Oreochromis niloticus: one gene and its partners. The protein of the gene in region 1 purifies or fractionates together with the protein of each later gene. This does not show direct contact. Links are inferred from orthologs where the notes say so. Each region holds a gene or a part of one and is shown in the gene's direction. Other genes may lie near its edges.

What was found. The genes of interacting proteins can lie anywhere in the genome.
Region 2: the proteins of DNA (cytosine-5)-methyltransferase 1 (region 1) and mta2 purify together in Homo sapiens (affinity purification with western blotting; 3 studies listed by BioGRID and IntAct, with this or other methods). This does not show direct contact. The link is inferred for Oreochromis niloticus from reciprocal best matches to the Homo sapiens genes DNMT1 and MTA2.
Region 3: the proteins of DNA (cytosine-5)-methyltransferase 1 (region 1) and ehmt2 purify together in Homo sapiens (affinity purification with western blotting; 3 studies listed by BioGRID, with this or other methods). This does not show direct contact. The link is inferred for Oreochromis niloticus from reciprocal best matches to the Homo sapiens genes DNMT1 and EHMT2.

What each region holds. Positions count from the first base shown.
Region 1 is NC_031969.2:24,059,726-24,066,974, reverse strand, and holds the start of DNA (cytosine-5)-methyltransferase 1, read left to right. Parts: upstream 1-4,244; 5' UTR 4,245-4,382; coding exon 4,383-4,429; intron 4,430-4,845; coding exon 4,846-4,882; intron 4,883-5,355; coding exon 5,356-5,463; intron 5,464-5,565; coding exon 5,566-5,809; intron 5,810-5,915; coding exon 5,916-5,988; intron 5,989-6,084; coding exon 6,085-6,166; intron 6,167-6,273; coding exon 6,274-6,314; intron 6,315-6,392; coding exon 6,393-6,447; intron 6,448-6,533; coding exon 6,534-6,617; intron 6,618-6,706; coding exon 6,707-6,816; intron 6,817-7,249. Other genes in the region: s1pr2 (sphingosine 1-phosphate receptor 2), read left to right, coding at 1-906. UniProt on the Homo sapiens protein: Methylates CpG residues. Preferentially methylates hemimethylated DNA. Associates with DNA replication sites in S phase maintaining the methylation pattern in the newly synthesized strand, that is essential for epigenetic inheritance.
Region 2 is NC_031967.2:3,171,859-3,179,719, reverse strand, and holds the start of mta2 (metastasis-associated protein MTA2), read left to right. Parts: upstream 1-4,859; 5' UTR 4,860-5,235; coding exon 5,236-5,263; intron 5,264-7,861. Other genes in the region: eml3 (echinoderm microtubule-associated protein-like 3), read left to right, coding at 906-994, 1,383-1,480, 2,472-2,559, 2,648-2,746, 2,853-2,983, 3,407-3,613. UniProt on the Homo sapiens protein: May function as a transcriptional coregulator. Acts as a component of the histone deacetylase NuRD complex which participates in the remodeling of chromatin.
Region 3 is NC_031985.2:15,481,662-15,489,195, reverse strand, and holds the start of ehmt2 (histone-lysine N-methyltransferase EHMT2), read left to right. Parts: upstream 1-4,532; 5' UTR 4,533-4,622; coding exon 4,623-4,649; intron 4,650-6,062; coding exon 6,063-6,132; intron 6,133-6,407; coding exon 6,408-6,575; intron 6,576-6,685; coding exon 6,686-6,942; intron 6,943-7,370; coding exon 7,371-7,449; intron 7,450-7,534. UniProt on the Homo sapiens protein: Histone methyltransferase that specifically mono- and dimethylates 'Lys-9' of histone H3 (H3K9me1 and H3K9me2, respectively) in euchromatin.

The sequences.
Region 1 (7,249 bases):
GAGAATCTGATGGTCCTGACTGCCGTCTTCCGCAACAAGAAGTTCCATTCGGCTATGTTTTTCTTCATCGGCAACCTGGCATTCTCTGACCTGCTTGCAGGCTCAGCATATATAGCCAACATTTTTCTATCAGGGGCAAAGACATTTGAGCTGTTCCCAATACAGTGGTTCATCAGGGAAGGCACAGTGTTCATTGCTCTGTCAGCTTCAGTCTTCAGCCTGTTGGCAATAGCTATAGAGCGCTATATCGCTATCACCAAGGTAAAGGTGTATGGCTCGCACAAAACATGCCGAATGTTTCTGCTGATCGGAGCTTGTTGGGTTACCTCCATCCTTCTCGGAGGACTCCCCATCATCGGCTGGAACTGCATCGACAACCTCCCTGAATGCTCGGCAGTTTTGCCACTTTACTCTAAGAAATACATTGTGTTTGTCGTCACTGTTTTCAGCCTCCTACTACTCTCTATTGTCATCCTCTATGTGAAAATTTATTTGATTGTACGCTCCAGCCACCAGGAAGCAACCAACTCACAAGCCTATTCCCTTTTGAAAACGGTCACAATAGTGCTGGGAGTCTTCATTGTCTGCTGGCTGCCCGCTTTTACAATTCTCCTTCTGGATTCGTCCTGCAGCATATATTCCTGCCCTATCCTCTCCAAATCAAGCACCTTTTTTTGCATTGCCACCCTGAATTCTGCGCTTAACCCAGTGATCTACACGCTGCGCAGTAAGGACATGAGAAAGGAGTTCCTCCGTTTGATTTGCTGCTGGGGCGTGCTGCAAAGTGGGCGGCCTTCTGAACGTTGTCTGGTCCCTCTAAAGAGTTCCAGCTCTCTGGAACACTGCACCAACAAACTTGAACACCAGAAAATGCCTATTATGAAAGAATGTACCACCTGCGTTTGATAGGGTCCAAGGATATCATGTGTATTCGTGTGAGAAAGAGAAACGAGCTAGCACGTCCTGGATCTAAGACATGTGGGTGAGGCTGGGACAAAGCTGTCTTTGAGACACAGACTTAAATCTCCTATTACAATTGATACTGTGTGAATTTATAATCGGTATGCAATTAAAATCACCCATGCAGCTGGTGTAAAAATGCAAGAGGAAACCAACGTAGTAAGTGAGAAACCAAAACGTTCTTATGGGTACTTTTCTCGATTGTGGAGCAAACCATTTTCACGTATATACCTACGATCGTGTTCATCTTTTAAATGTGTTAAACCCTTTTAAAAGCCAAAAATAATGTGCATAATATCATAGTTATGTAATAGCTGTTTGGGACTTTCAAGAACTGTGTCAATGCAAAGCTTGCAAAATTGCACTTTGTAGTTTACTGTAGAGATTTTTGCCCTGTGTAAGATTAAACCACATTACTCTTCCTCACTGAAATATGTATGCATTAAGCTTAAAGTTGCATCACTCATTATTTACAGAGTCGATGGCAGTGGTCAACTGAAACAAAATGACTAAGTAGTCCTTTGACAAAACCAGGACTATATATTCCCTATATAACCGTACCTTTTGATAAACTACAACAAACTTGTGTAATCTGCTCACATTTAATGCATGAAACTCAGACTGTAAGTGCTAACGTGTATGATATACTCCAGATACGGCTTCCATCACTAACACCCCTTCCCTTATTTGTCCTCATAATCTGCCCCTCTTGCTTTTACTGTTGTCTTTTGTATCTAAACAGTTTCCGTCAAGGAAGGCCTAATCAGAATGCACATTTCCTTAAGGGAGTAGGCACAGATGGCGAATTTGACTCAATAACAGCTGTTTGGCAGGTTTAACTAAAAGAACAGATGCCCTTGCAGTGTTGTAGTAACATAGAATCAATGTGCTGCCTCTGTTTGTGCCTTCCTCATGGGGGCAAAAGGCTGAATGTATGTATGAAGTGTTCGGGGCATGTGCCCCATTGTCGACAGTATTATTGATCATCATTTGGAATTACAAAGTCATTGACAAACAGAGTGGGATAAACAGGGTAGATCACTCTTACTGTGAATTTTCAAACAGCACCATGAACAAGAATTTGTTGTGACCATCTGGGTTTAATTTGCAAACCATACGCCTTGTGCAACTAAAGATCCAAACCTGTCTCATGTTTCTCAAGACCCCTCACGTTGTCTACAAAATAGGAGAAGATCCGGTTTCAGACGCACGGGAGGTATCTGCCCTCCTGGGAGGTCAGCGTCATCCTCGTTCCCTGACATCCTACAACACGCAACTTCCCTCAGCCATAGGAAGTCCTATTTTTTCAGCGTCCGGTTCCTGTTGTTTAGGCTTACTGTAACCTTCTTCCCATGGACATACAATTAAAACTCTTCTCCATGTCAGTGTTTTTATTTTTTTTATTTTATTTTTTATATTTACTTCTAAATTTAGATGGACACGCACTTTGGCAGCTTCCGTGATGTTTCCTTTCCCCCATTTTTAAAAAGAATCTGTGTACCTATGAGTTTGCCAACTTTTATGTTAAATATATAAATAACTGTGTATGTTTTGTAAGTATGTATGTGTCTTTGTACAGTATGTATGACTTTGTTTTATGCAATGTCTTGTGTGCAATAGTTGTGTGTGTCCAGTAGCACGCTTCCTGTATTAAACTGGTACAATCTGAAACACTAATAGGTACATGACTTTTTGTTAATTTTTAATTCCAGTTTTATAAAAATAAATGAAATACTGAAAAAAAAAAGTGTGCATGTTTAATTTTGAGCTTTAATCAACCAGTGTGGCAGCTGCAACTTTTCTGCATGTCCTGAGTTGTCTCTTTTTTTATTGTGAATCCATCTGAGAAGGAATTAAAATGCAGCATTAAATCCAAACATGCTCTGACAAGGTCAGAAAAACACTAGCCTCAACATGAAAGCCTGTCATTGTTTGTGCAAATACTGCTTTGTGATTAATCATGGCTATCTTACCTGATGAAAATATAGCTTTGCTTTAAGGCTAAAGGTAGACATGAAAAGGATGGGAAGCTGGGCAGAAGACAGAGTGCGGGGGCTAAAAGTGGGGTGTGGTGGAGAAGATGGCCTGTTTGTAAGCGCTTGTCTGAGGGAAGCATAAAGGAAAAGCCCCGGGAGAGGTTTTTCTGGGTAAGAGGGATGCTTGGGGTGAGGGGGGAGGCTGACTTATAGAGGCCTTGGGAGTTTGGGCCTGTTTCCTGTCAGACATCCAGGATTCCTGGGTGGGAACGCTGGCTGAATCAGCCCCAGGAGGCTGTGCTGCTGGGATGTCTGCCAAGTCTTTCCAGAGCACTGCAGGATATTACATCAGATTCAGAAACCTGTATGTGAAGTTGTGTACACATAAAGCACAGCCCATGTAAGCTCATTGCTGTAGAACAGCACGAAGTTTGAAGTACTTCACAATTTCGACTAAAGGAAAAGTGAACAAAAACCCTGCCTATTTCTAAACATTATTCAACTGTGCAGTGATTGTACACACAGCTAAACACTGACCAATTAATATAATAACAGAATAAACACGTGTCAATAAAAACTAGTGGTAAAAGCGAGCAGGGTGGGTTTCCATGTGTAACCGTACAAGAACAAACTGACCGCCTGAGATTAATCTTCTGCCAATGACACAGTGCCACCTTGTGGTGGAATAGGCGCGTAGCTGGTTACAGTTGAAGGACCTTGTCTCCTTATTTATTTGCTCATAATGACATTGCAGTCGCCCAAATCAAAATAGCTACATAAAGGACAAACATCTTAAGGCAATCATGACCTCAGGCATAGATAGTACAGTCACACTGGAAGCGATCCACAGTGGATTATCAACAACTGTTATCCTACAATAATACAACAGCTACATTGTGCTTCACATTTACAACGCCATTCAGTCAATGTTTTTTCAATTGTATTGTTTGTTTGTTTTTGTTTTACCAAAAAGTAGTAATACATCAGATGCAGATGTCTTGCTACGATAGCTCATTAGTAAACAACAACTTCCGCCTGGTCAGTCCACTTCGACATCTATCAAACAGTAAGGGTGGATCGAGTTAATTGTGCATTTCTAGATAAAGTATTTCTTTATAAAATAGACTAAAAATTCCGTTTTTCTTTTACTAATAATATTTATGAGATAAACGTGTAATTCCGGTCACAAACGATACGTACATCAAGGATGTATTAAGTCCATCATCGAAACTGTTTTACCTGTACATAGCTAGAGTGGTACAGTCCACAACACCCGGGTTTCCGCGCGAAAAGACGGCCCGCGCGCCCGAATTGCTTATAGCATCCATCTGCACACGACAGACTGTCACCGTGGAGCCGCGCGGTGGTTAATGATAGTGGAGTTTTAAACGGTGTTTTAACGGTTTTAAAACATTTTTAGTCGCTCGTGTCTTACGCTCGTTTACGATGCCAACCAGGACGTCCCTGCCTCTCCCGGACGATGTCAGGAAAAGGTACTGTAATGAATGCTAATAGTGTTCTACTGATGTAGCTAGCTTGCAGCTTTTATTTCAAAAGCCATAACAGTGGCGGTTAAAGCTGAAATGGCAGTCCTGGTGGGTTAGACTTTCTCTGGTTGTCCTGAGCGTTACTGGCGGTTTCCCTTTTACCTGTGCAAACAGATGTTGCTAACATTAGCTTTTTGCCATTGACAGGGCTGATGCGGTATGCACTATTAGCCAGTTAGCATCATTAGCCTGCCAATGGATGGGACAGCGTGTGAGATTTGGCGCCACTCAGGAAGTTTTGTTATCTGTGTTTCTGCTTTCCCGCTGTCAGTGTTTTATTGCTGCAGTATAGTAAAGGAAGCGCTCCCACACGATTCGCTCTGACTTACCCCAGCACTGTTTTGATTCTTCTTTGTTTACAGCTTGCAGAGGTTGGATGAGGAAGGATCTGCAGAAGAGGTGAGTTGTGGACTCAAAACATGCTTATCTAGTAGTTCTGAAACGGAAGTTTAGTGTGGAAGAACTAACTGTTTAGTATTTTAGTTGGTTTCTATACTGTCACCTCAAAGGGAAGTTCCTTGCTCAATCCACATTGCACTCCCCTTATATCATAAATAATTATGAATAAAATGAACGAGGATCAGCTTTAGTCTTCTTTTTTGTGCCATTTTCTATTTGAGCAGTTTCTGGTGGACAGCATAAGGAAACTGACACCAGTGGTGCGAAGTCAACAGGAATCAAAGTTAAATATGTAATAGTTTCCAGGTTGCATATTGTGTCATTAAGTAATGGAATCCAGTTTAAGACAGTTGTGTTCTTTTAGTTTTGTGTATTTATCCTTGTGCGTGTGAGTGCATAAGTTGTGCCTTATTTTTTTTTTTTCTTTTGACATTATTCATTAACTCTTATTCTCTTTTAAAATGTCACTCCAGGAACATGTGAAAGAGAAGCTCAAGTTGGTGCAGGACTTTCTGCATGCTGATGCTCAGGATCAGCTGACCAGTCTGGAGGAAAAAATGAAAAGTTCAGAGATCTCAAAGGTCAGTCAGTTGTAAGTTGTCCAAATTGATATTAATCCTAAAACCGTACTTCACTTTCTGTCATCTAACTTGTGACATATGTCATGTGCCTTTTTTTTAAAGGAGGTCTATATCTCTAAAGTGAAGGCCCTACTTGGAAAAGAACTTCATCTTGAAAATGGCTCCCACGTTGATGACGCAGAGAAGAATGGAAAGACGAATGGCTTTTCAAATGGTTCGCACAAAGACGAGCATGATGAAGATGTAACCATGAGCGTACAGGAGGAGGAGGAGGAATCTTTCAAGTCACCAACTGCTTCGAAGGGGAAGGGTGGACGGAGGAGCAAGGCAAATTCTGACACAAAAAGTATGTTTAAAATCTCTTAAGATGGAGATCACCTGCACATTCAGTGTCTTTCTCCAGTTATTTAAGCAAAGGTAATTTTTAAAAGAATTTTTTTTTCCTTTTGTAGAGTCTCCAGCAAGTACCAGGGTTACCAGAAACAGTGGGAAACAGCCAACCATCTTGTCAATGTTCACTAAAGTGTGCGTATAATAATATATACTTAATTCATTTATGTATTTGGGCCTAAAACAAAACTCTTCCATCACTTTAACCTGCTTGAAATAAATGTCTTTCAGTCAGAAGCGCAAGTCAGAGGACTTGAATGGAGAAGCTGTCAACGGACAGAATGAACCGAAGAAAGATGATGACGTTGAGGAGGTATCGTAATTTTATGTACAAGTAATGTAAAAAACATAAATAGAAGCTGCAGTTTCTCAGTGTCTGATAAATAACTCTCCACATAATTTCAAATTTGTTTTTTGTAGTCTCGGGAGGAGAAGCGTCTCAAAGTGGAGTCGGATGAAAAGTAAGTATCTTTGTCTTCAGAGCACCAATTGTGATATAGCTTATAAAAGCAAATGGGCTGACACTTTTCTTTATGCAGTGCTGCTCCAGAAGAATCCAAGAGTGACATTGCAAAGCCGGTTTCTGCTGTAAAGGTAGTGATTTGGATTGGTGAACTGTAAACATTTTTGGAGGCATTACTGCTTCGTGCTGACTGGATTGTGTTTTTGTTACTGTTCAGACGCCACCACCCAAATGTCAAGACTGTAGACAATACCTAGATGATTCTGACCTGAAGTTTTTTCAAGGGGATCCTGATAATGCGGTGAGAAAACTTGCCACACATAAACTGTAGTTTTGTTTGTTTTAAATTATAAAAAAAAAAAAACCAAACCCATAATTTCTGTGTTTCAGCTGGATGAGCCTGAAATGTTAACAGATGAGCGCCTCTCACTGTTTGACTCCAATGAGGATGGATTTGAGAGCTATGAGGATCTGCCACAGCACAAGATCACAAACTTCAGGTGAGTGATTCTCCATCTTTATAAAGGTTTTGTTCCTGTGAGGTAACATACACAGCTTGTTAGGTTAGAGGAACAAAATAAAACTGCAAGGAGAGAAAGACCTGTGACTGGCAAGAGGGTGACATCAAGCTTGAAAAGATGTGCAGCAGGATAGAGTTGGAAATGTACTATCGAGTCAAGAGGGTGGTGACAGGGTGGAAATAGTGCCTTGAGGAACTCAAGAATGAAGAAAATGACAGAGGGGAACTGTTGGTCAGGAAGTGCAGGGAATAAGTGAGGGCATCTATGAAAAGGATAGATTGGAAAGGTGGTTGGTCAGATGAGGTGGTGGTGGTAGTAGTAACTACAGTGGGATAAAGTTTGATACCATGAAGTATGTGGCTTCACACAGAAAGAGCACAAACAGATTTGATGTTTGCTTTGAGAGTGGTGG
Region 2 (7,861 bases), on another chromosome or scaffold:
CAGTTGGTGCAGGAGCGTCAAACAGCTGCTGGCTCTGTCCAGATGTTGCAGAGAGCATCCTCATGACTGAGGGCCCTCGCCTGGGTGGTAACGACTGGGTATTTGAACAGGACAACGCTACAGTACACAACGCCATAAAGGACAAAGGACCTCCTCCAGGAGAATAACATCGCTCTTTTGGACCATCCCGTGTGTTCCCCTGATCCAAGTCCAGTGGAGAACCTTTGGGGATGGATGGCAAGGGAAGTTTACAGAAATGGACGACAGTCCCAGACAGTAGATCGCTTCGTGCGGCCGTCTTCACCACTTGGAGAAATGTTCCCACTCACCTCATGGAAACGCTTACATCAAACATGCTGCAACGAACTTTTGAAATGATCAACACTAACGGTGGAGCGGCTCATTACTGAGTTCATGTTTGGAACTCTGATTTCTGTTTTGGGGGGTTTACAGGTATTTTTGGAGGTGTGGTCTTAAACTAAACTGTAAAACAGCCTGTTTCAGTTTAAGTGTTGTTTTCAATAAACTACACGCTCAACAAAATGTTTGGTCTCACTCTCATTTCTTGTTCATGTTGAAGCTCTACTTGGGAACTTGTTAAGATCCAACCATGCAAAATATGATTTTTTTTCAAGTGATCTTAAACTTTTGATCGGGACTGCATCAGTATGGATACACTTCTTTATTAATCCTATGACAAACTGACAGAAATAGAAACGGACAAACAACACATAACGAAACTTAAGCTCCAAACTAAAAGAAAGGTTAGGAAGCATTGATCTGTGGCTTCCTGTACAGTAGATGGAGAATTTAGCCATGTGCATTCCAGTGTGTTCTTTTCTCTGACTCTCCACCTGTCTGCCTGTATCCTGCTGATCCTCCTCCACCCCCTGTAACACTGACAGGTGGATGGTCCTTGACCTGCTGACCAGGGAGGTAGTTTCTGAATCCACTGACGGGAATGAGCAGCTGTCTGTCATGAGATATTCACCAGGTCAGTCAGTAACTCCTCCTCCTATCTTAACTGTAGATGTGACAGATTAGGGTGGTGTTCACATCCAACCACGTGGTCATGGAGTTGGAGTTAATGATCTCCTTCACACAAAAAACATGCAGTAAACTTTGAGTTAAAGCTTAAAACTATTTTCACAGATAAAAGATTTTTTTCTTGTTTTGTTTTTTGTTTAAAATTTTCATTCTCCGAAGCCAAATAAATTATAGTCATAAAAAATGCGCAGTCATAGTTTATGAGTTATTTGTGCATTGATTTTGTTTATTTGCCAAAGTAGACAGAGAGACAGGAAACGAATAGAGAGGGTACCACGTACCAAAGTTTCACAGTGGGAATCCTCTTTGACTGTGAGGGACCGCTTGCTTTTCAGATGGCAGCTTCCTAGCTGTTGGATCACATGACAACTTCATCTACATCTACAGTGTGACAGAGAGTGGCAGGCGTTACACCCGCTTTGGAAAATGTAATGTGAGTTAAACTTTAAATTATTTCTTCTTGGTTAACATCTCCATCAAATATGAGCCTGCTCTAGTGCTGTATTTTCCTTCTTGTCAATAAATCTTGTGTACAGACTTCCATTGTTGTCCACATATTATTACAAATCACACTGATCAGTGGAATGACCGTTACCTTCACAGCACAGAATCAGCTTTAGTGAAGGTTACAAATGATCTTCTTATGGCCTCTGACAGTGGACTCATCTCTGTGTTAGACCTCAGTGCAGCGTTCGATACTTTTGACCACAATATTTTATAACAGCGATTAGAACATGCTGTAGGTATTACAGGTACTGCGCTGCAGTGGTTTGTATCATATCTATCTAATAGACTCCAGTTTGTGCATGTAAATGGAGAGTCCTCTTCACACACTGAGGTTAATTATGGTGTTCCACAGGGTTCAGTGCTAGGACCAATTCTGTTTACATTATACATGCTTCCCCTAGGCAGCATCATTAGAAGACATAGCATACATTTTCACTGCTATGCAGATGACAGTCAGCTCTGTCTGTCCATGAAGCCAGATAACACACACCAATTAGTTAAACTGCAGGAATGTCTTAGAGGCCATCCAGGTCTTTGTCTTTAACTTTCTGCTTATAAATTCAGATCAAACTGAGGATATTGTACTCGGCCCTGAAAATTGTAGCAGTATGCTATCTAACATCTGTTAAAAATAGTTCATGTATTTGTTACTTTTAGGCTGGTCCACTGTAATTTCTTATTGCTATTATTATACTCATGCTAGACATTAGAAAGAATGCCGTTTAAATGCACTTGAACATTAACTTCACTTTTAATGACCTGGAAATCTTTCATATGCAACGTGTGGTATGGAGCTTGCAAACACGGAGATTAATGCCAAAGACGTTTATGGAGTTTTCTGATGAAAATCCAGAATAAAAGCTTTGCTTGCTTTAGCTAATATGACTGACACTCTGTCTGCTTATCTGTTCGATCAGGGCCACTCCAGCTTCATCACTCACCTGGACTGGTCCAAAGATGGGAAGTACATCATGTCAAATTCAGGCGACTATGAGATCCTTTACTGTAAGTGAACATCCAGCACTGTGCTTTTAGTGCTGTTATAGGAATGCCATGCAGTACGTTCTTTAGCTTAGTGACTGTGTTTTAACAGGGGACATAGCAGCAGGATGTAAGCTGCTGAGGAACCGCTTTGAGAGCAAAGACAGAGAATGGGCCTCTTATACCTGTGTGCTAGGCTTCCACGTGATGGGTGAGAAACTCCAAGCAAAATGCTGTTGTCCTCCTTTAGCATTGCATTAACGTCATGGAGTTCTTTTATCCAATCAGACTGATGAGTGTGGTACTGTGGTGTTCAGGTGTGTGGCTGGAAGGCTCTGACGGCACAGACATCAACGCGCTGTGTCGCTCCCACAACGAGAAGATGGTGGCTGTGGCTGATGATTTCTGTAAGGTTCATCTGTTCCAGTACCCCTGTCCTAAACTCAAGGTAACTATTTTCTTTTTTAAATAAGAACCAAATGATGAAAGTGAGCCAGTTTTAAGAGTTAGAAACAGTTAAACCGTTTGCCAAAGTCAGTCCAGCTCAAGCAGATCAGATAACCCACGTTAACGGTTTTGTACACAGTTGTATTCGTTCATTAAAGCAGTGTTCAGATGACACACGGATTGATTTAATAAGCTGCTCAGTTTTCAAGAGCAGGTCACATCTTCTAAGACCCTGAGCCCGCTGTGTTTGTAGTGCTGTCACTACAGTTGTGGGACATTCAGTCCAGATTCAGCATTAACAGTAGGAACCTTGTAGAAAGGTGTTTATCCTAGTCTGGAAAGACAAATTGGGGGGCGGGGGACTGGGATATGATGGGCCTTCCTCTGCGCTGACCCAAAGTGGACCTGCTTCTTTTCTCTTCAGGCACCAAGCCACAAGTACGAGGGCCACGGCAGCCACGTCACCAACGTCTGCTTCACTCACAGTGACTCTCACCTGCTCTCCATTGGCGGGAAGGACACTTGCATCCTTCAGTGGAAGGTGATTGGAGGTGGGGTGGGTAACAGCCAGGAAAGACTGGCCTCGGCCTCATCCACCTCTACCAGCTCTCCAGAACCTGCAACCAGCTAGGGAGACGGCTGCTTATAAGAGTGAGGGAAAGCAGGCTGTTTTCTTACAGCCGCAGAGGCATCGAAGTGAGTTATGGGCTCAGTATATCCTCTGGACTGACACTGCTGCTAGTTTCATGCAGAACATCCTCTTCAGGAGGAACATCCATGTTAATGTTATGCTTTAAATCCTTGTGAAACTGGACAGTGTGTGTGATGTTTCCCATAAGACAGAATCCTCGTCATTCTGTTGTGTATGTGGTGAGAACTGTTCTTGTTTGATTGCTGGTGCAGAACAGTGCTGCACTGCCATAGTGCCTGTGCACGTGATTTTATACATGTTTTAAACAAGGTTTGGTTAAAATCTCAACTTTTTATATGCTTAGACTGTGACAGGCCTGTCCCATTAAAATCAACTCAGCATCTCTTACTAATTCATTTCTCTAACAGTAGATCAGTACACTTGAAAATTATTACTTTAGTGCAGTTTTGTATGTATTTAAATGAACGTCGGCAATACTGTGATGTCGTATCAGCTGAGCTCCAAATAAATGAGAGAAGACTCAGAGGTGTGTTGTGTGTGAAGTGTCACTAGTGGGCAGTGCCACTCCAGAACCTGTGAGTGTGTTCCTAAATAACAGGTCTCAGGTGAGAACACTTAGGACTGAAGTCTCAACAAATGTGTTTTCATTGAAGACAGCAGTAAAGTCTGTGGTGCCCTCCGGTTGGGATGCAGTAAAGGTACATGGTTTAAGGTGGAAAATATAAAATTAATTGAATAAAATGAATTCAATCATTAACTGCCTTTAGGTGTGATGCTTCAGTAAACTGATTTGCTCTCCAACACTGCCATCTATTGCACTACCAGCAGCCTGTACAAGAAAAACATAACTGTTTATAATACTTGTATCTCCTTTTTAACAGCTTCCGTCCATTCAAAATTTGACCTATTTGGGGCACATTTGCTGCCATCATTACACTGACTGGTCTGTATATTCTCTGAATTTGCAATATTAAAGCCTGTGTTTGTGTGTAAATCTTGTAAATAAGCGTTTGTTTCCGGTAAGCATCCTGCGACACTTTTTAAACTACAAGCAGTAAAGTAAGTTTAGCGTGTCGTTCATTTCATAAAACAGACGGTCTGTGTCACTAAACCAGCGCCGGTGAACAAGTTGACTGTGAGACGTCGGTGATTGTCGACAAAATCCGAAGTTGACGATTTGTACACGAGCGGGGGGGGGGGGGGCTGTGTGTGTGTGTGTGTGTGTTTGTCTCTGTGTGTGCGCGCGCGCTGAACTGAGCGGAGGTGAAGAAGAGGAGGATGAAGCTGGGAGCGGAGGATGGGAGGAAGAGTGGAGTAAGAGACAGGCTAGCTGTATGTGAATAAGTGAGTGAAGAAGAGGAGAGGAAGGTCGCCAGAGAGAGAAAATATAAACTTCTATTTTTGGAGATAATTGCCGGAGCGTCGCCAGCGGAAACTTTCAACTTTTTACCCGCCACTGCTCTCTTGTTGTACCCAGAGCCGGCTTTGTTTCGCGGCGGGGGTGTTGACGATAAATGAAGGAATAAAATAGACTCCCATCGACCTGTTTCTACCCAAGCGGGGAATACCCTGGGACTGCTTCTGATAAAGGTTACGAGAGAATGGCGGCCAACATGTACCGAGTGGGAGGTAAGGAATGGTTTACATTTTTAAGACACCCCTTCAACGTGATTGTTCGCTTCTACTGGGAGCTGGCTAACTAGCCGCTAGCTGTCTCTGCTGTTAGCAGCTAGCTAAAGCTAGCGTACGCTGCGCGACTCCGGGCTTTCATCAAGACCGTCAGATCTGCCGAAACAATGTAGTATGACTTAGCTTACAGACAGACGTAAATAACTTCACATTGATTTGGTTTCCACACAGCTGTAGCCAGGTAGAGCTGCTTCTGTGTTCGGACTATAATAATACAATACATTGAGCAGTGTATATTTGTTTTAAAGTTCAACTTTCAGAACAGATCTGTGTTATATCCCAGTTAGTTCACGCCATCATAGTACCGTACCACAGGGCGGCCGTCGCACAGCATGAACCGGTTCTGAAAGTTTGTATTTATATAAATCCATCCAGCCAGCTGGATCCAGGAGATCCAAACATATGTGGTGGTTATAGATAAGCGAAATAACAGTAAATTGTCCAATTCTCTGACGTGTAGTCTATACATTTGATAACGTCCTCAAAATGAACACAATGCTAGCTAGCATTAGCTGCTGGCTGTTGAGAAGTAAGCATCTAGCTAAATTTGGTGACGTCTGTGATGGCTTGCTAACACCGCTCTGCTAGCTGTGTCAGGCTGGTAGGTTAATTTCATTATCGCCTCCGCCATATCACTAGATGTGCTAATTCTGGCTGCTAAGTCCTGTTAGCTTGGCGTAATAGCGGTACTACCAGAGCTTAGTTAAAATTGTGTTAAGAATTTAGTTTACAGACTGTGGACAGTTATATTGGAACACCTGCAAGTGAACGACTGAATTTGTACCAAGTTAAGTGGTAATAAGTCGTTAAGTTCTCGTTTGTTAAAAATGTTTTATCAGTACTTCATGACTGCAAAGGAAACTGGTATGTCGGCGGTATTAATCAGGTAATTAGTCATTAATATTATCTTTCGCAGCCCCCCGCGACACCAGTGGCAGGCATTTATAAGATGCAGTTCATTTGGAGTTTGCTTTGCACCGTCAGAAAATAAACTAAACTATGGTTCATACAAAGCAAGCTGCTGTTTTCTACTGTTAGTTTTCCAGTCGGATCATCTGGACAGTTGATTCTGGGCTTCAGTGTTGATTGTGAAACATTTTCAGTGCTAAGCCTCGGAGACGGTGCTAGCTACGGGTGGACTGAAAATCTTTGAGTGGGGGGAAGGCTAATCGCAGTCTCACGAGTGTGTGGGGTATTTAGGTCATAGCGATTAAACTATGCTCTGCAAAACATGCTGCATATTTCTGCGCTTAATGTTTGAACAGTTAAAGTGGGGTTTTTTTTCCCCATTAACTTCTTATCACTTACCCGCAAAAATACACACACTTACGTGTGTTTTTGTGTGTGTGTATGTTGCATATTATTGCCGGTTTCTCTCCTCTGACTTCAGCAGTGCAGTTTCATGGATCCACGTATGTTGCTGCTAAAACACTTGACCATTCGGCTTTAGGATCACTGCTATTGTAGCTACTATTTGTGGAGAGATGTGCAGGGTTTTATTTTTGTTGAGAGCAACAGAGCGCTATGTGGAAGGAGAGCCAATTTAGAAATATCATCTAGAAAATTGTAGTAATTTTGTAAGGTGGGTTCCTAGACAAAAACCTATTGTTTGGAGCTAATTATTGGAATTTATAGAAGAGATAAAGCATCAGAAGACAAAGCTTGGCACTGATCATGCACTAGCTAAAGAGAATTGTTGACGAAGGTTTATATGGAAAATTGTCAGAAAATTAAGTGTGAAAATCAAGTGTTGATTTGAGTCACATTTGAACAAAGATGAAGTTTTCTTTCCTCAGGATGAGAATTTTTTTCTTTTACAATACTGTGTCATACGTTCTATATGTTACACATTGACAAACGTGCTTCCATCACTTTGTGGTTTGACTGTAGAGGGGCTGGAAGAGCTGCTGGATCTGTCCCAGCCACCTTGCTGGATCAAGTTTGTGCAGGGAAATAAAGGCAATAGTGTGATGCCACATACAGTGCTGCATCAATGAGCCATAAACCCAGGAACAGGATTTTTCATTGGCAAAGACTATTAAATGCATCATTATGTGTATTTTAAATCAATTATAGGGTAAAAATAAACACCTGTACAGTTGTATTTAAAAACTAAAAACTTCAGTTTAAGAGTTCAGTTTTTCTTGTCACTGAGGCTTTATAATATTTTGCATCTGGTGAACTGATCCAGCCAGCAGGGACCTTTCTGTGTGGGTACTTACTGAGTTACCCACTCTGTGATTCTAAACTGGCTGTAGCTGTGGATTGTTGTCTGTCTCTGTATTAAGCTGGTTTCATGGTCCCGCACGTATCTGTTCACATACACAATCTAGATTGGAACTACTGAATGTTGACTGGTTGACAAGTGGGCCGGAATAGAGAAGGGAGCAAAGTTTACAGGAAACGGGAGAATGGAGAAAAACGCTCCGACGGTGGTTGCAGTGACACTTTTGTTTTTGTTTCACTTCAGCTTTTTGTATGTCAGAACTTTTCTTTTCTCAGCGTGTGGCTGAAGGACATGGATTCATGGACAGTGAA
Region 3 (7,534 bases), on another chromosome or scaffold:
GTTTCCAGCTTGTGCTGGAGTTCTCACTGTGCCAGCAAACACATGCCTCAGATTACTCCTATTATTTGTTAATGTGAGCATATATATATATGTACTAAATGCACAGAGGTTAAAAGGAAGATGATTCAATGGATTTCACAGAAAGATTAAAACTTTTTTACTTATCTAATCTGCCAATCATATAGCAGAAACTAAACACATTTAGACATGTAGAAATGGTCAACACACTTTAGTAAAGTTCAAATTGAGCATCAGAATGGGAAGAAAGGTGATTTAAGTGACTTTGAATGTGTCATGGCTGTGGGTGCCAGACAGGCTGGTTTTGGGAAAATCCCAGTAGATCAGCAACAAGCTCACAGGAAGGCAACAGTAAATCAAATAATGTTACAACCAAGGTATACAGAAGAGCACCTGTGAACAAACATGCCAAACCTCGAAGCAGCAGACCACACTGAGTGCCAAAAATGGAAAACAGAAGATTTGAAAAATGCTGCCTGGCCTTTTGAGTCTTGATCTCTGGATTTGGATGGTAGGTAACAATTTTGTATAAACATGAAGGCATGGATCTATACTGCTTGCCCTTCGGGGTTATCGTCTCCTGCACCTCTGATCTGGCCTCAGCCCAGCTGCTTTTTATGATAACTTCCTGACAGACACTTGCATTGCTCGCTCTTTCAACCTAACTGGATATCCTTCAATACTTTTAAGTAATCAGGTAAAGTCTATGGTTTTTTTTAATGTGCCTGTTCCCGGAAACTTTTCTCTGACTTCAAAGACACACTCATTAAAGATGCTCTTTTATATTGCTGGCTTTATTATTGGATAGCTGAAATGTGATCCAATTATAGGAGTATTTTATGTATTTTTTTTTTCTAAATAAAATATAGACTGGCTTTTTCTGCAGATATTTTGTTTATAGAGAACTGACAGTGACAAAAAGCATTTCCTTCAGCTGCACATTTCATAAAATTCACACACACCTTCGGGTCTCAAAGTGTGTAACAAATGTGGAAAGTGTTACAGATAATGAGATCAAACAAGGACAACGCAATACTGCCTATTGCCTAATAAAGGAAGCTTCCTAAAAAGAACAAAGCGCTGCAGAACAGGAATCAGCTGATGGTTTGTTTGAATAACAAATCTTTAAAGGGGAAATGAAACGAAGACATCAAAGTGGTGATTGTTAATCATCTGCTCCACTGACACTAGGATTAATTATTAATCTGTTATCAAAATAATTCATTTCATTGATTGTTTTTTTGCCTAACAAAAGGCCAAACATTCTCCAATAGTGATCAGCCAGTATTTTTTCTATAGATCTTACGGTTTTTATTTAAGGTGGAAAAAAAAATAAATGTTCTGATACTTACTTGTCAATATTCCTTCTTTTGTTGGGTAACTGTTTCATGCTTAGATCTGTCATTATTGGTGTAAGAGAAAGAAATTAAAATGCCACATGACCATTAAAACCATTAATTTGGCAAATAATTGTCTGATTCATACCTTCTTATCTTCACAAAATCTAACTAATGTGAGTAAACTCCTTTTCTGTAAGACTGAGCTAACAGTTGTCAAAATGATTTATAAAATATAGTATTGTACAAAAGTCTTGAGTCTCCCCTGATTTCTTTATATTTTGCTAGGAAAATGAGAAATGGGTGCAGCGATTTATTAAAATGTATGCAAACTTCCAAGTAGGGCTGCTCAATTAATCGAATTTTAATCTCGATTACGATCTGGGTTTTCAACGATCATTAAAAATGACTGAGCCGGTTTTTAGCACCTCCCTCGTGCTTTACTCTCGCGCTGCTCCGTGTGGCAAATCGAGCGCACCTCTCTGCGTTTCGAACACGCGTCACAACAATTAAGAGGACCCGAGGGAAGCTCGAAAAGCTCGGAAAGCTAAGCAGAAGTTATTTGGAGAGAGGATAATGGCTGCTGAAGAAAGAATGCCGTTGGTTGAAAAGAGAGGTAAAACGACTTCAGTGGTGTGGAAACATTATGGGTTCGCGGAGTCAGACGTGGATCAAATATTGTGCAGTATTTTGAAGTTCACTAAACATAGATGTTTACATTTTTCATTTATTTTTTATATTGCAAACATTTGCACTGTAATCAGTATTTGCACACTATTTTATATTATTTTTGACAATCTTTAAAGCCATTATTCAATACATTGTTATTGTTAAATAAATATCGTCAAATAATCGAGATCTCAATTTCAGTGAAAATAATCGTGATTATCATTTTTGCCATAATCGAGCAGCCCTACTTCCAAGGAAATGCAATAAAAAAGGGAAAAACAGAGCTTGTACATTCTAACAAGCTTGAAAGTCAACATTTGGTAAGACCACCCTGAACTCTCTTAAGCAGGTTTTCTTGTCATTTATTTAAGTAGTCTTCAGGAATACTTCAGGCTTACTAATGGCTTCTTTACAGCCACCTACCCACTGATATAATTCCTGAACAGTAGATGAATCAACTGGGGGGTCAAATGCATCTCTCGGGTCCTCTGTCAGGTCTTTGTCGGACTTTCAGATACTGTCCAACAGCTGCAGATTGTTTTTTTTCCTTCTTTGGACCTCTGTGTCTAGCTTAATCAATTTTTAAGGACACACTGCACACCAAGCCAAGCTTTGCCAAGTCTTCAGCTAGTAACTCTTTAGGAACACCTAGTTCATGCAAAAGTACCATTTTATATCTTTGAAAGTGTTATTTTTGGTACTTTTCATAGATTCAACTAAAAAGAAACAGGAATAAATTATGTGTTAAAGCAACAGGCAGGTAACAAAATGCCTCAAGATAAAATTTTAAATTGGTTCTTTGTGAAGTTGTCTGTTATGTGTAGACACAACAATGGTTCATCCCTTAAGTTAGGAGCCTTTTTTAAATGCTCGAATGAGTCATAGGTCAGTCTTGAGTTGCTTAACAAACAGACGCAAAAAAGTCTGTCAGCAGACAGAGAGTAGCAGATAACAACAGACTCAATAAACTGAAGCCAGTAATGTTGTGGGTGTGGAGTCTCTGACAGAGGTTTCAGAAAGGAGGATACTGTCCCAGTTATGGTCAGTATTGGCCAATCCTTCACACCCTCTCCATCTTGTGCTGGACAGCCACAGGAGCTTTTTCACTCCACCATGATGGACCTCATAATCATTCCTACCTAAAGCCAACGAATATCTCTTCCTTATCACACCTCACCTATTTTCACTTGTAATACCTTGTCTATACCGTACATAATGGGGTTTAAAAAAAACTATTTAAATGTAATATTGCACTTTGGGTGCCTTTTTTTAATATACAGTTTACATTTTCTATGTTTCATGTTCATATTTTAAGTCAGCGATTCAGATTCTTCCGAAAATTCAGTCTGTCTGTCTCTCAAAATGTTCAGATACAAGGACTGGACTGAAAGTGAGTGAAAAAAAGAAGACAACATCCTAATAAATATTTTAAAGAGCATTTCAGAAAGCCCGGAGAACTATTGCTCAAGACCACTTTAATACAAATGACAAGAAAGCCTGGCTCCTATAAAGAAATAACGGGTGGCTCAAGACTTTTGCATAATACTGTCTCTCAAGATAATGACAACAAAATAAAGGATGAAAACTGGTCAATTAGCACAATAAATATGTAGATTAAGAATGCTTCTAGTGGCCAACAAAAAATAAGATCCATGGTAGCCGCAAATCAAACTGACAAAGACAATTGAAAAAAAAAAAATCAGTGTTTTTCAATTTTGGTATAACACCAACTAAGGTTAAGAGGACCTATGGGAGGAAATTATATAATGCTAGCTCACTTTAGTGACATGTTATATTAATGGAATCCACTAACTGATGTGATATAAACAGGCTAATTATATCCATGCTTATCCATGTCATGTTTAGGACTTACAGACCCTGAAAAGTTAGACTGGCTAACATTTGAGCTTGAAAAGCGGATATTAAAAAAGATTACCGTTTCGTGCGTTTCAGCAGTAGCGGAGCCTATAATAAACTAGTAAAGGTGGTTATAAGCTGACTATAACACACGTTTTTTTCCTCTTTTCATTCCAGTCCAGCTAGCTAACGTTAGCCACTCACTAACAGCTCCCTTTTCGTGTCGTCTCTTCTTCTATCCAGCAGCAGTCAAACGAACAAAACCCCCTCAGTTATTGTCAAACTTTGTCGCCTGCTCACCTTCGCCTCTCCTCTCCTTGAATGCCTTGCGGGCTCTCCAGAAAGCAAATCGGGGTTCTTTAAATGAAGTGACCATTAAATGAGGAGATGCTAGCCGAACGGGAGCGCTGTCTGTTCATTCCTCCAGACGACACCAGCTTCTGCCTGGGTTTCTGTTTACTTTTCGGCCCCTTTATTTTTTTCGGAGGGGGGTGTAGGAGGCATACCTCGTGACAACAAACACAAACCGCCCCGTATTTCGCCGCTTAGCTGACTTTGAGTCTGTTTTCGCAAGCGACTTCGCCTCGCGGTCAGCCGTAAAACGACAGCACGTACGCTGATTTCTGATCAGCGAGTTTTAAAAAAATTTATGGGCACCACCCCCCTCCCACCATCCATCGAGGGGGCGGGGCTCCGGCCGTGACGCAGCACGCTCACATACGTTGACGGTCACTGGGAAACATGTCGGCATCTGAGACAACGACAAAGGTAGCTAACGTACTGCAGCTGAAAACTGCATGCTAAAGGAATTTACGTCTATTCGTCTACCTTTAAACTCCCCAGTTTACCGATACTGCATACTGCCAAGCTCCTCTTGACTTTGCATGTCGATTATAATAGCTTTTTTTATTGTAACCTAGGCTGCACTGCTAGCAGTGTTAGCCTGTAACAGTTTTGTGTTACCTGCAGGGTTACTCTTATCCAGATGATGTTTTGCTGCTGTTTTGTATTTGTTGACCAGTAACCTTTGTAGCAATCCTCTGTATAGCAAGTATTGCACCTCGATCTGTTTTTTAGGATATGTTTTTATTCGTAGTTGCTAGTTAGGAGCTTTTTTTTTAAAGTAAATGCTGCACCAACGAGAAATTCACAGGAAAAGAAATTAGGATTTTAAGCAGTCGGAGTTTAAAATCCCGTTTTAAATTCACGTTTCTTTTTGGTGTACTGTTGGAGTAAGGGGTTTTTCTTGGGTCGTGTAAAAAGCATGAATGGAATTACTGACTCATGGCGGCAGTTGATGTAACATGAAAGAAATTTTCACCTATTGGCCGACGGGTTTATTTTGGAGATGTGAAGGCCGAAAGTAGTGGGTTTTATTTTTTTACCTAAAATAACTTTAGAATGACATTAGTGACAGTTTTGATTGTACTGTCAAATGAACAGACACAACACTTTTGAGAATGATGCTCACAGTATCCTCATATCCTTGTCCTGCTGCCCCTGGTTGAGGTCCTGTGTTATTTGTCAGTAGGAAGCGTTTCTATCAAGAGAACTTGCTAGGCCCAAAAATATTACCAGGCCAGAGATACAATGAGTGTAGTGGATCCACATTTAGACCTCTAGAGTGCATGCTTTTACATGTACACTGGTGTGAAAAAGGCTGTCAAAGTCCTGTAGCTGAATCCAATTGAGCTGTTGTGGCAAGACATTAAAAAGGCGGTTCATGCTCGAAAACCCTCCATTGTGGCTGAATTACAACAATTCTGCAAAGCTGAGTGGGCTAAAATTCCTCCACAGCGCTACAAGGAGTTATTAGGTTTAGGGGCCAATACCTTTTTCACACAGGGCCATTTGGGTTTTGATTTTTTTTTCCCTTAATAACAAACAGCTTCATTTAGAAACTGCATTTTGTGTTTGCTCGTGTTATCTTTGTCTTATTATTAAATTTGTTTGATCTGAAACATTTAAGTGTGACAGACATACAAAAATAAAGGAAGGGGGCCAATACTTTTTCAAGCAACTGTATATTTTGCATGCATGCAAATATACAATATAATTTCTTTGTGTATTTATTCTACCAATGATTGGTTGAACTGCAATCATTTCATTAAATCATTAAAATAAGAGCCTGTTCTGTTATCAGTTTTACTCGTTTCACTTGTTTCTTGTTTTGTCCACCAGGAGCACCATGAAAATGACGAGTCAAAAACATCAGAGGAGTCATTAGCTGGGTCAAGTCAAACAAAGGAAGGTAATTCACCAGCTGGTTTATGCAGATAATGTTAATATTTGAAATATATTGAAAGACATTGCATTGGTTTGCAATTAAATGACCTGTGAATGCCATTTGATCTCATATGAGTACAGTGAATTGTCATATTAAAGAAATCAGACTGAGATGTTTTGAGCTTTATGACATGCTGCACATCATTGCACTACCATCAAGCGGCAGATTGTAGCATTATGCCCAAGAAATTATTTCTCCTTGATAAACTTTAAAATTCTTGCACTCCGGATATTCCTCAGATAATGCAGCCTTCACCTCATCTGCTGCTGCCACCAAGACGGAGCCCATGGGTGTTATGTCATCACTGTTGTCGTCCCAGCAGCCCGAGAAGGATGCTTCCACAGTCAGAGAGGAAGGAGAACAATGGTCCCCTGCCGCCTCCCCCCAGAACAAACCTGCTGCTGCAGGTGAGCTCAGATTGCATTAGCTGCTGTCGAAATTCTGAGTTGATTTCGTTGATTTAATCAGACTTAGTTTACAAACTGAGGAGATAATCCCTTTTGCTTTAATTTGTCAGGTCACACAGCAAATTCCCTTCTTTCGACGACCTCTTCGTCATTGTCGTCGTCTCCTTCCACATCTTCGACATTGTCTCCTGGCCGAGCAAAGATGAGCGTTTCAGGGCCTGGTAGCAGTAAATCTGTCCTTCCGCCTGGTCCTCCATCATCCTCCTCTTCTTCCTCTACAACAGCTGCTTCTTCTCCATCTGTCTCCCCTGCACCACCCAAGATCCATCGGGCGCGAAAGACGATGAACAGGCCTCCACCAGGGCAGGTGAGAGAGGAGCTACTCCTGTTTGGTATCAATCATATTTGGTAAATATATGGGTTTTCATGATTTATTATCTAGATTTCTACCAGTTGTTAAAGGTGCTTATTTTAAATTATTGTGTTTTAAAAATTGCTTTAAACCTTTCAAAATGACCTAAAGCTGTCAAGAATTTAAATGCCTGTGGAGAAATCCCTGCTGTGTGTCGAACAGGGTTTAAAACTTGGGGAAATTGGATATCATTTAGGAAAACAATGATATTTTTGTTCCTTTCCAGATTGATAGGCATATCTGGACAGTGTTCCTAAACTTGGAAAGGATCAAAAGGATATTTGTTCTTTCGGTTTCTGCTTCCATCACAAGTTTGGTCTTAAATTGCATTTAAAATGACATTAATATACCCACAAACACGCTTGACTAATTTTGTTCCTCAGATCAGTCAAATTGAGACACCTGTTGCATCTGTGACTCCTTCAGGATCTTCAGCCAGTCTTTCTTCTCACTCTGAACCTGGTCAGTAGGTCTAAACTCACAGTAAAAGAGTTAAATGAGCATTAACTACTGCTTTACTTTAAAACTAAGCCTTGTCATGGTTTGC